Linked DNA regions of Oryctolagus cuniculus. The main gene of each other region encodes a partner of the protein of the gene in region 3 in a complex. Links are inferred from orthologs where the notes say so. Each region holds a gene or a part of one and is shown on either strand. Other genes may lie near its edges.

The links.
Region 1: the proteins of YWHAH (region 3) and NEDD4L are in contact, whole or in part, in a crystal structure (PDB 7NMZ), measured with the Homo sapiens proteins. The link is inferred for Oryctolagus cuniculus from reciprocal best matches to the Homo sapiens genes YWHAH and NEDD4L. Residues at the interface, in NP_003396.1 of Homo sapiens: Arg12, Glu15, Asn39, Asn43, Leu44, Ser46, Val47, Lys50, Arg57, Lys125, Arg132, Tyr133, Gly174, Leu177, Asn178, Val181, Tyr184, Glu185, Leu221, Leu225, Asp228, Asn229, Leu232, Trp233; in NP_001138439.1 of Homo sapiens: Pro444, Arg445, Ser446, Leu447, Ser448, Ser449, Pro450, Thr451, Val452, Thr453, Leu454, Ser455.
Region 2: the proteins of YWHAH (region 3) and NUMB are in contact, whole or in part, in a crystal structure (PDB 5YQG), measured with the Mus musculus proteins. The link is inferred for Oryctolagus cuniculus from reciprocal best matches to the Homo sapiens genes YWHAH and NUMB. Residues at the interface, in NP_035868.1 of Mus musculus: Arg57, Arg132, Tyr133, Leu177, Asn178, Val181, Glu185, Ile222, Leu225, Asn229; in NP_001129547.1 of Mus musculus: Gln274, Gly275, Ser276, Phe277.

What each region holds. Positions count from the first base shown.
Region 1 is NC_091441.1:19,988,460-19,992,105, forward strand, and holds part of NEDD4L (E3 ubiquitin-protein ligase NEDD4-like), read right to left. Parts: intron 2,889-3,646; coding exon 2,815-2,888; intron 725-2,814; coding exon 664-724; intron 1-663. UniProt on the Homo sapiens protein: E3 ubiquitin-protein ligase that mediates the polyubiquitination of lysine and cysteine residues on target proteins and is thereby implicated in the regulation of various signaling pathways including autophagy, innate immunity or DNA repair.
Region 2 is NC_091451.1:19,419,686-19,422,393, forward strand, and holds the end of NUMB (protein numb homolog), read right to left. Parts: intron 2,631-2,708; coding exon 1,915-2,630; 3' UTR 577-1,914; downstream 1-576. UniProt on the Homo sapiens protein: Regulates clathrin-mediated receptor endocytosis. Plays a role in the process of neurogenesis.
Region 3 is NC_091452.1:25,023,343-25,027,587, reverse strand, and holds the start of YWHAH (14-3-3 protein eta), read right to left. Parts: upstream 2,897-4,245; coding exon 2,810-2,896; intron 2,053-2,809; exon of another isoform or gene 1,436-2,052; intron 1-1,435. UniProt on the Homo sapiens protein: Adapter protein implicated in the regulation of a large spectrum of both general and specialized signaling pathways. Binds to a large number of partners, usually by recognition of a phosphoserine or phosphothreonine motif.

The DNA.
Region 1 (3,646 bases), on a different chromosome or scaffold from region 3:
TCATCGCGGGAGAGTGCCTGAAGTGCACCCAATGGGAGCTCTGCGCAGGCAGCGGGGGCTGGGCACACGGGGGCGGGGCGTCCCCCGTGCCATCCTCCCTGATGAAGCAATCTCACTCTCGGCCAAAGCGAGAACACCCAGAAATGACAAGTCCATCGCCCCATGCTGGGGGCCTCCAGGCAGGGCCGGGGGCAGCCCTGACTTCAAACACTTGGACCTGGGAAGTGCTGGCTTCTCTCCCACACGAGGCGGCTGGATTCGAAATAAAACCTCGAGTTGAGAAACTGCTTTTCATGCAGCTGTTACAGGAGAGAATCTGAGGAATTCAGACAGCAAGGAAGGGACAGGGAGGGACAGCTCGTCGGGACCCTGCTCTCCCTAAGACCTGTCGCCATGGGCAGCCCTCTCCTGGGGGCCACCCTGGAGTGCCAAGTCAACAGCTCCGCATCAGCTCTGTAAAAAGCCCTCTTTATTAAGTTAAAAAATGAGAGAAGCCAAAGATGAGAGCCTTTAACATGAAAAAAATTTTAAAAAAAGGTGGTGGTAAAACAGCCGAGCCCTCTGGCCCGGCAGCTGGCCAGCGTGAGCTGTGACGTCCCAGCCTCCCTGCATTGCCCCACTCCCACCCTGCCTCGGTTTCCCCACGTCTCCTGCACAGCTCACCTCTAGGAAGGCGTTCATCTGCTTCTGGACCCGGTTCACGAACCTCCACTGGATGACCAAGCTGCAGGGGAGAACAGGGCAGGTTCAGCCATGGACACTGCCGCCACCCCCTCCTTCCTCCTCAGCTGCAACTGCTACACGGGACAGGGAGGGAGAGAGACCCCCCCCCCCCCGCCCCAGGAACGCAGCCGAAGGGAGGGTCGACAGCTGGGACCCCACCGTGCAGTCTGAGATCGCCGGAGCATCTGCGAGACATCTCAAAGTCTCATGGAAACGGTCAAAGCATAACTGACCCCCTGCCTCCCTAGCCCACCAAGGCGCAGCTGGTCCTAGCTGCTTCACGGACGTGACCACGTGGAGGAGAGAAAGGCCCCTGGCTGAGTAGACAGGGATGTGTCAAAGCACACACAGCCACAGGCACGTTCAAATACACAGGTGCGCGCGCACACACACACACACACACACACACACTCTCGTGTGTAAAGGGGAAACCCAGCACCATGTATTCTGCTCCTGAGGTTTCTTTCGAGTAGCTGCAGTCCCTACACTCCAAGTCTTCCCGGTGATACAGCTGCACGCTGCTACTTTAGTATCCACTTCGGCAGGCGAGTGTTGAGCCCTCTTTAACAGTCTCTCTGTGACAATACTGTCTACACAGCATCATCTGCTGCACACGCGTCCACTCTGGGTTCCACTTCGGGTGCACCACTGTTACAAAGGGCTCTCCCTGCTGTGGTGGCGCCATGACCACAGCCCCGAGCAGCAGCCGGCAGTGTGACCCTGGCTCAACCGTAGGAGGCTTTGACTGGCAGGAGTGCAGGCCTCCCCCACCCAGGGCCGCGGGATGGCAGGTGTCAGGCGGCCTGTCGAACCACTACTCTCAGGGAAGTGCGCTGAAACCCTGCCTGGCCCTCACGTTACAGCCCAAAAACAATTAACCGCGAAGCGCGGTGCCCAACACACGTGGGATTCCTCAGACTTAACTCCTGGTCACCTGTGGCTGCAGCAATTTTAAAAATCTATTCCCGGCCTGCACATTCTGCAGACAGTGCCGTCTCCCAGGGTGTCACATGCGAGACCGTCCAAGTTCAGGCAAGTGTGGCAATGAGCATGGACAGGTAAGGACTGCAGGTCTCACCTCCAGTCGTCAGCGCAACAGGCGGCTATGTCATGGGCTCGCCCTGCCGGGGTCTCCGAGAGGAGCCTCGACGCTCTCCCTTTCTTCCTAATTCGGCAGGACAGGGTTTTTCTCTGCAGCTCACGCCAGGTGACGCTGAGCCAACCCCCAGCCCATCCCCTGGACAGAAGGGCTCTGGGCAGTTTCAGAGGGGAGTCCGGGGGGAACCTGGCTGGCTGGACTGGAGCCCGGGATGCAGACAGGCACTCAGGCTCTGAGCCGCCCGGTGCAGGGCTCAGCGCTGCTGTACTTCCCACCCTGCAGCCTGGCAAGCCCTAGGACGGCCCAGGACCGCGTGTCTGAACCACGGTCGTGGAAAGTGGAATGAAACATCACGTTTATTCAGGTGCCAAATTTTTTGAAACCCATGTCTGGATTTTTCATAATATGCATTGTCCATGACCATGCACTTTTGGAATATCCCTCATGCAGTTCCCAAGGAGGAAAACGTGAGGCGGTCAGATAAAGACCTTCTGCTGGTGCCAACGTCCTCGGATTACCCCACAGCAGAGCCCCAAAAGGACTCAACAGTCTGATTTCCCAGCCGAGGCTGAGACGGGGTTAGGAAAGTACAGCTACAGAATAGCTCATTACCCTCGCACACGCGTTCTTCCTGCCCGTTTTAACTATTTTCCTCTCTATTTACTATGGAAGTGAAGTAGGGACGGAGAGAAAACATCTCACCTTGGGCGGCCCCCAGTTTCGCCCTGCTGGGCACTGACACCGAACTTCAGATGAGATGCCCATTGTCCAAGAGTGCCTGCTGTGTTACTCAAGGAGGCGTGCAACTTCTCCCCGATCCCTTCCCACGGCAGCTCACGGCCGCCATGCTGCAGGGCCAGCTTTCCACCCTGCCACGAACCTCCCACAGTGCACCCCGAGAGGAACTTGGCCTGTGGAAACTGGCCAGTCACCACCCGCCCACGGAGCATTCCACCTGGCACAAGGAGAGGCCTACACGTGTGCATACGTACTCGATATATTCCCTTTTGTTTTCATTCGTCACCATTATCTCTGAGCCATTGGGCTTCAGGTCCACTTGGTATGTCTGCAACGACAAAGATCAAGCCACAGTCACCACCACGAAGTCACTCTGCATAGGGAGCAGTAACATCCTACTATCAGAAGGATGACAAGCACAATTTGTTCAGATTTCTCAGGAAATGGGTTCTGCATATGAGAGAGAAAACCTAATGAGGCCCTGGATTGTTAAGATGGACACATTTCATGATGCCATCACCAAAGGCCAGCGATTTCATGGCTGCTTATGACTGATTACTCTTCATGTGGCAGCACCAGTGGGAAAGGGCGACCTTGCTTCCATCTCAAGTTCACCCATCAAGAGATTATGTTTAGCGGAGCAAAGAGCCGGACACATCCGTCAGGACTAGAGACCCAAGTTCTGATGCATCTTGCTTCTGAAAATTAAATTTTATAGTTATCAGAAGGGAGGCACGGGATTTCTTTGGAAGAGGCCAAAAACATGGGGACTTAAAAAAGGAGCTGAAGAGGCCAGGCTGGGCAGGGAGGCGCTTATCTGTCTGGGACACCCGCACCCTGCTCTGCCGTCCCTCTGGGACCCACCCATGGACACCAGCCTGGAAAGCTGTGCAAATCCAGGCACCACCTTCCCCTTGATGTCACCACGCACAGAGTCATAACCAGCACTAGGGCCACGAGGCCGACGCCTACCATTTCAAATAAAATGCTTCTCATCGTAGAAATTTAGGGGAGAAAATACTCGGTCCTCGGTGCCGACGGGTTCTACACCCACGGGTTCCGCCTACTGCAGGCAGCACATGCTCT
Region 2 (2,708 bases), on a different chromosome or scaffold from region 3:
ACTAGAATTTTACCTGCTGTCACATAGACACACTTCAGGAAGTCGAGGCTGGCCTGCTGGTTGCAGGTGGCCTGCTCAGAACTAGTCATGGAACAGTGCCTTAAAGTTAGAGGGAGAATAAAACTCTAGACCTGTGGTTCTCAATCCTTTCCCATACTGGGAACTTAAGACAAACCCTGAAGCTGGGGCTGCTCCCTCCCTCCATATTCTAACTGGTCTGGTGTGTAGGACAGGCATTGGGATTTTAAGTTTCCAAGATGATTCTAACATGTGGCCAAGGTTGAAAAGCGCTGCTTGAAGCCCTGAGGTGTGCCTGGGATTCTAACCAGCTCCCACATCAAGTCCATGCTGCTGTTCATACCACATTTTGAGCAGCAAGAATCTGACTTGAGAGAGATCTACTCAGAATCAAACAAACCTAAAGTATGAATGAAAATTCAAATTTTAAGGATATACTAATCCCAATAAAAGACTCTGTAATACTAGGGACCTGCAGCAGCAGCAGAATTAAGAAGAAAAGTAAACTCATTTGCCAATACAGGAAAGGGGAAACACCAGCCCTTTATGGGCAAGAGCTTCTACCACGAACATTTATTTTTGTTAAAGCAGATTATAAATTCTCATCAGTACAAATATATATATATAACTTACATTTGATTGTAAGGCCAACGTTCAAAAGTAAAAATGAGATGGGATTACACATTACCCGAGGTCAGCTGGCAATGGGACGTTCTGCTCACCAAAAGGGGGGGCAGCGGACACACAAAGCTACCAAAACCAGAATTCCCATCCCCACAAAACCTGGAGGAAAAAAATTTAAAGGACAAAACAAAACCCACCAGGACTGACATTACAAACCAAGACAGGAACCTGCATTCCCTTCTACGGATGTGATTATGTCATTGTCACCTTAGTGTTAAAGGACTAACATAAGGAAATTGCAGCAATATATAAAAGATAATATTCTCTATAGAGCATATTTAGATTGATTGCATTAAAATAATGACATTACATTTTCATCAGTTTTAAAACCAGGACAATACTGCTGTTTCACTGTCTTTAAAACTACAGCCTAGTGACGGTGTTGGTCACAAGCATGATTGTTGCTGCAGCGTGCTACTCACAATGAATTCAATCTCAAACAAGCTAGGGATCCATCTGTGACTTCTGACGCTCTTTTTATTTCAATAGGCATCAATGATAAATCAATCTTATATACAATTTCTTACAACTAACCCTTTTACTTTTGGCAAGATTACTTACAACTCATACAAGTTTTTAATATTGAGAACTATTTAAAATATTCTAAATGCATAAAAATAAAGATTTTGGCTTTTTGATATATATATATATATTTATAATATTTAATTCTGTTACCCAAAATGGAAGCTTAACTTTACCCCCACAGTATAGCTCTGCTGGGCAGTTGCTGATGTGGCCTCCCAGGAATTCTGGCAGCACAGCCTCTCTGTTCCCAGCTAGAGCACAAACGCTCTGTTCTCGTCTCTAAGACAGACCAGTACTGAGAGGAGGCAGGTGAATGGCCTGGAAAACAAAAGGGAGACTGTTTTGCTTCCCATTGTGTTTCATATCCCAGTAAATGTGCTTTGAATGTAGATTTCTATTCAGATACTTCTGCCTCTCTGCCACCAGAGATCTGTAAGGGCACGAGGGAGGAGAGGGTACAGAGGGCACGCCCTTGATTTCTTTAGCCTACTTCCAAGACAGGCTTCTCTAGGAATGGTTTTCCCCTCTTCTTTCAAAATCATCCCTCACTGTACTCTGTGCCTGGACTTGTTCCTGGGGACTTTTTGGGGTTAGTGAAAAGTGTCCTGATCAGGAAGACAAAGGCTCCTTTGACCTTTCTACCCCTTCGCCTAAGTATGGACAAGATACATGAACCATAGAGATTGCTTAAAGTTCAATTTCAAATGTCTTCTGCAAGTCACTGGAGAAAGGGTTGGTAGGGGAGGGATTAGTACGCTGCTTGGACTTGCTTTCTAATGCAGCCCACTGAGCTTCAAAAGGATCCACTGTACAGGTGCCTGCAGGAATCTCCGTGTGCTTGTCTCCTGAAGCCAACCTGCCATTGTCTACACCATTGAAAGCTGCAGAGCCGTTGAGGTGCTGAGCAGGAGGCTTAAAGAAGGGACTGGCAGTAGCACTGCTTGACTCGTACTGCGGGAATGTCTGCTGCTTGGCCAAGCTGGGTGACTGATGGGGGAGCACAGCCTGGGGATGGCCTGCAGTGCCAAACATGTTGGCTACCATCTGGGAGGGAGTCATGCCCACCACAGGCACATTAGGGGCCGGATAGGACATCCCATTGGCCACAGGATAGGTCTGGGCAGGGACAAAGGCTGGCTGCAGGGGTGGGACCACACCCATTGGCACAGGTTGAGAGGTAAGGAATGCATTCCCTTGGAAAGGTGGTGCTGGTTGGGAGATGGCAGTGGGTGGAGGATGCTGGAGAACTGGCTGCAGAGGGGCAGCCGCGGCCTGGGGCTGCTGAGCCCGGACACTCTTCGACACCTCTTCTAACCAGCGGTCAGCCTCAGAGGGAGTGCGTCTGTGACCAGCCTGGAAAAGACCTGGAGAGGCAGCACCAGATGATTGACTCCATTCGGTCCCTGGAAACAAGATGAAAACAGACAAAAGAATCAGAATTAGAGGCTTCATTCATTAGCTTACAACTTTGGTATCTGAAT
Region 3 (4,245 bases):
GTTCTAGAATCTCGGGATAATGAAGCCACTAGGTGTGAGGACAGCTTGAATGAAGATGCTTCTTTATGCTTCACCCCCGATGTATTTCCTGACCTCTTCAAATTAAGAGGTGAGGCAGAGAATTCTAATTCGGAGCCGATCTGAGGCCACCCCGTTGATTCCAGTATGCATTCTTCTTACAGCTTACCCACGCTGTATCTCCAGGTGACGCTGGTAGAACAAGGATCAGTCGTTACAGGCAGGCAGTATTACCAAGCGACCGTTTCAATTAGAAGGAGACAGAACAAGTTAGACTGAAACAGACTTGTCAGTAACACCATGACCAGGTTTTCTACTCGATGCCCGGAGACGCAAGTTTCAAGGTCAGAGGAGCCATGGGCGGCTCCCCCTGGCTCCGGTGTTCCGCTCCATCCTCCCTAGTCCACTTACCTGCCCTTCCACCTCCCTGACGAAAGCCCGCATAAACCCAGGTGCTTCCTGCCAAGTCACTCTGCACAAGCCCTGGTTAGGGGCTATGCTAATAATATGGGGACCGATGGCCCCAGCAACATTAAGAATCCAACCTACAATTTAACAATAGAAAACAAGAAAGTGCTCTCCAAGGACCCTGCCAAATCCTTTCTGATGTTCCATTAACGAGATAAAATATTTTTTTCACAAGGCAAATTGACAAAAAAAAAAAAAAAAAAAAAAAAAGTTCTTTCACAGGAGTCACCCTGAGGGAACAGTTTATCACAATTCCGAGATGACATAATTGCAGCTTGGTGGAATTCTCCAGGCTGGATGGCTTTTCCAACCCACCCATCATTTCAGAGATGGGCATTACGGATTCCTGACATGCTCAAGGGTCCATTATTTGCAAAACCCTATCTTAACGCCTCCAGCCACGGCCATAGAAGCAGTGGCAGCTGCAGCAGGAAAGCATTTTTCAAGCCTGCTTATCTAGATCAGGAGGCCAATTTTTTTCTCTTACTCAAAACTCAATTTTGTTCTGAGAACACCTCTCCCCCTTCTTTCCTATTTCCCAACGCAGGCTGCCTCAGGTTCCCAGAATGTACCTTCCAGCTGTTTTTTCCTTAACCTCAATTCACCTTCAGGCCCCATCCCTTCTTTCCAAATCTCCATTTCCCAAAGGACTCCTAATACTGCAGCTCACAAGGCGGGCAAAGGCCCCGGGCAGCATTAACCCCAGTAGCAGGCAGGCAGAGCGGAGAACCAGCCCCTCTAAATGTGACTTGATGCAGGAACAGAGGCAGAATTACAGCCCCTCACACCCAAAATCAAGCTTTCGGGTCCCTTCATGGACATGCTCTCATAGTCACTATCGTTTCTGTAAGATTTGCGAACGCTGTACTTTAGATTCATTTTTTTTAAAAGCCCCCAGAATTTAAGATCAGACTCCCCCCCCCCCCATCTAGGCGGTTCCCTTGTTTGCATGAAGGGCTCCTAGCTCAGCACAATAGCATACAGGTTCACCAATGCACCAATGCGTTGTGGGCTGCGGGCTTCCCAACCCATGCAGCTAAACGCGTGACAGTGACAAGGACATCATAGAAGGGTAACTCACCTACTTGTCTTTCTCACTTGGAAAATCCGAAATACTGGTCTCAGCTACCTATGTCACCCGCTATTATCAAAAGCCTTAAAATGAGCTTTTTCAATGATTCTAAAATATTGGGGAGCTTATAAATTTGCCTTTTTTTTTTTTTAAGAAATCTCTTCCAAAAGCCAGCAAAACGACACAGGCGCTCCCATCCAGCTTAAGCCAACTAAAGCCTGCCTACCAAGCTGGCTAAGATGCATTTTTTCGGAGTCTCAGCCCCAGAATTTCTGACTCTTTGGGAGGTATCAAGATCGTGGAGTTCAAGGAGGCTCCTCCCAGGTCGTACGCTGGATGAACCCAGCACGCAGCTCTCCTGGCCGTGTGACCTTGAGCCAGGGAGAAGCAGCGTTCATTTGGAGACAATGTAAGATAACACGAAGCGCCAGGGACAGCGAGCTGGTAACCGGAACTCGGGAGTCTCAGAACCGCAGGTGGTGTCTAAATCCACGGTATGTGCTAGGGTGTGGCCGGCCACCACTCCTTCCCCGGAAATGGAGCTGCAGAATGGGGACCTGTGATGGCCTCGGGGAAGCAAAAGGCACACGGGTGCCTGTCCCCTGCCTGCAAGCAGGCTCAGCCTCCAGGCAGAGGGCGCGACACCCAACCTGGGGCGCCACGGCCTCCCCCCGCCCCGCTCCCCACCCTCCACCCCGAGCCCGCGTCCACCCGCCTGGAATGCAGGGAGGGGGGTCTTCGCACACAAAGCCAGACCCCGGGCGTGCGAAGGTAGGCAAAGCACGATCCAGGCAAGCAGAGCCGAAAGGAATTTCGGATTGCACAGGTTTCAGATCGTGGCTGAGAAACCCAGGGCAGGGCCCCACTCCCCAAGGTGGTTTTTTGGTTTTTTGTTTTTTTTTTTTTGGAAACAAGTGAGGGCCTTGGAGAAAGGCGGGAAGGAGGTGTGAGCCCCCAGATCCCGTAGAAGCGTCTAGAAGGGCTGCGGCTCCCTCCCGTTTCCCTCACGGCTGAGGATGCAGCGACCCCCGCCCGCCCGCCCGGTCCCCCTGCCTTCGCGACCCTGAGCGGTTCCCTCCCCGGGGACCCCACCCCACCCCACCCCACCCAGAGCCCGGTGTCAGGAAATGGCGGGCGGGCGGCCGCGCCCAGCAGGGTCGCCCGGAGCGGGACCCAGCGCCCGCCGCCCCATCCCGCCTCCTCCACGCCGGGCCCCCCGGCCGGCCACGCGCGGGCTCCCGGCGCGCTCACCGCCTTCATGGCGGAGGCCATATCGTCGTAGCGCTCCGCCTGCTCGGCCAGCCGCGCCCGCTGCAGCAGCTGCTCACGGTCCCCCATGTCGCTCGCGGCTCGGCCTCGCCTCGCGCCCCACACGGCTCGCTCGCTCGCCCGCCCGTCCGCTGCCCGGTCTCCGCGGAAGCCCGCCGCGCACGCGCACTGGCTCGCCGGCCGGCCCGAGGCTGCAGGCAGCGCCGCGGCTCGCGCCCTCTCGCTGGCTCGCCCCGCGCGCTCTGGCTCTCGCCGAGGACGCCGCTGAGGGAGGAGAGGCAGCCGCGCGGGGGGGAGCGGGGGAGGGGAGGACGGGGCGACGCCTGCGCACTGGGAGCCGCCGCGCCGGGCGGCGGGAGTGGGAGGGGGGGAAGGGCAGGCCAGCCCTAACGGTCTATTTCAAGGTGACGTCACCTACTATAAATAGCCGCCGCCGCCGCCCCGCCCGGGAGCCGCGCAGGCGCCGTGCGAGTGCTGCATTTTACCGCCGCAGAGGTGGAGGTGGGAGGTGAGGGGAGGAGACCCGGGGTGGGGACTGCAGAGCCTGAGGAGGGGGCGCCGTGATGGCGGCTGAGCCATGGAGAGCGTCCCGGAGTCCACGCTAGGGATCTGGCTTGAGAGGAGCCCTCCACCCCACAAAAAGCAAACAAATTCGCTTTTGGGGAGAGGCCGGGAGGCCGCGCGTCCTGAGGGCCGGGTCGGACCCGCCCGCGCTGGCCGGAGTCTGGTCTGGCCGCGGGACCGCGCCCGGTCGGGTCTGGCCTCCGGGGCAGCCCCGTTCCCGCCCCTGCACACCCACTGGGCTCCCACCCACCCCGAGAAGTGGTCTTGGGGCCGACTGTGGCGTCCACGAGGAGGTCCGGGGTGGGGGGTGGCGCCTCGGACAGTGGCGCTCAGGGACACCTGCTGGCTGGGAAGCAGGCGACCCGGAGCTGGGCCTTTATAGGCAGGGCCCCATGTAATCCTCACTCCAGGGAGTGGACGCAGCTGGTCGCCCCGTAACCAGAGGCAAAGCCGGGTGGGCGGCTTGCGGGAGGTTACAGAGCCGCGAAGTGATACAGCCAGGACCTTAGGGACGTGCAACAAAGGACAGCACAGGACCTGGGGGAGAGGCTGGGCACCCAACTCTATTCCCTGCACTGAGTACGCGTCCCTGCCCGGAACAGCAGAGATCCAAGCAGCAACAGAGCAGCCTGGGGCCCAGCCTGAGTTCGAATCTCGGCTGTGGTCCTCGGTCCAGCTTCCTGCTAATGTGCACCCGGGGAGGCAGCGGGGATGGCTTCAGTAATTGTTCCCCTGCCGCCGAGGGGAGGTGCGGATGGAGTTCTGGGCTCCTGGTTTTGGCTTGGCCCAGCCCCGACTGTTGTGAGCATTGGAGGAGTGAACCAGTGGATGGACGATATCTCTACTTACCTTTC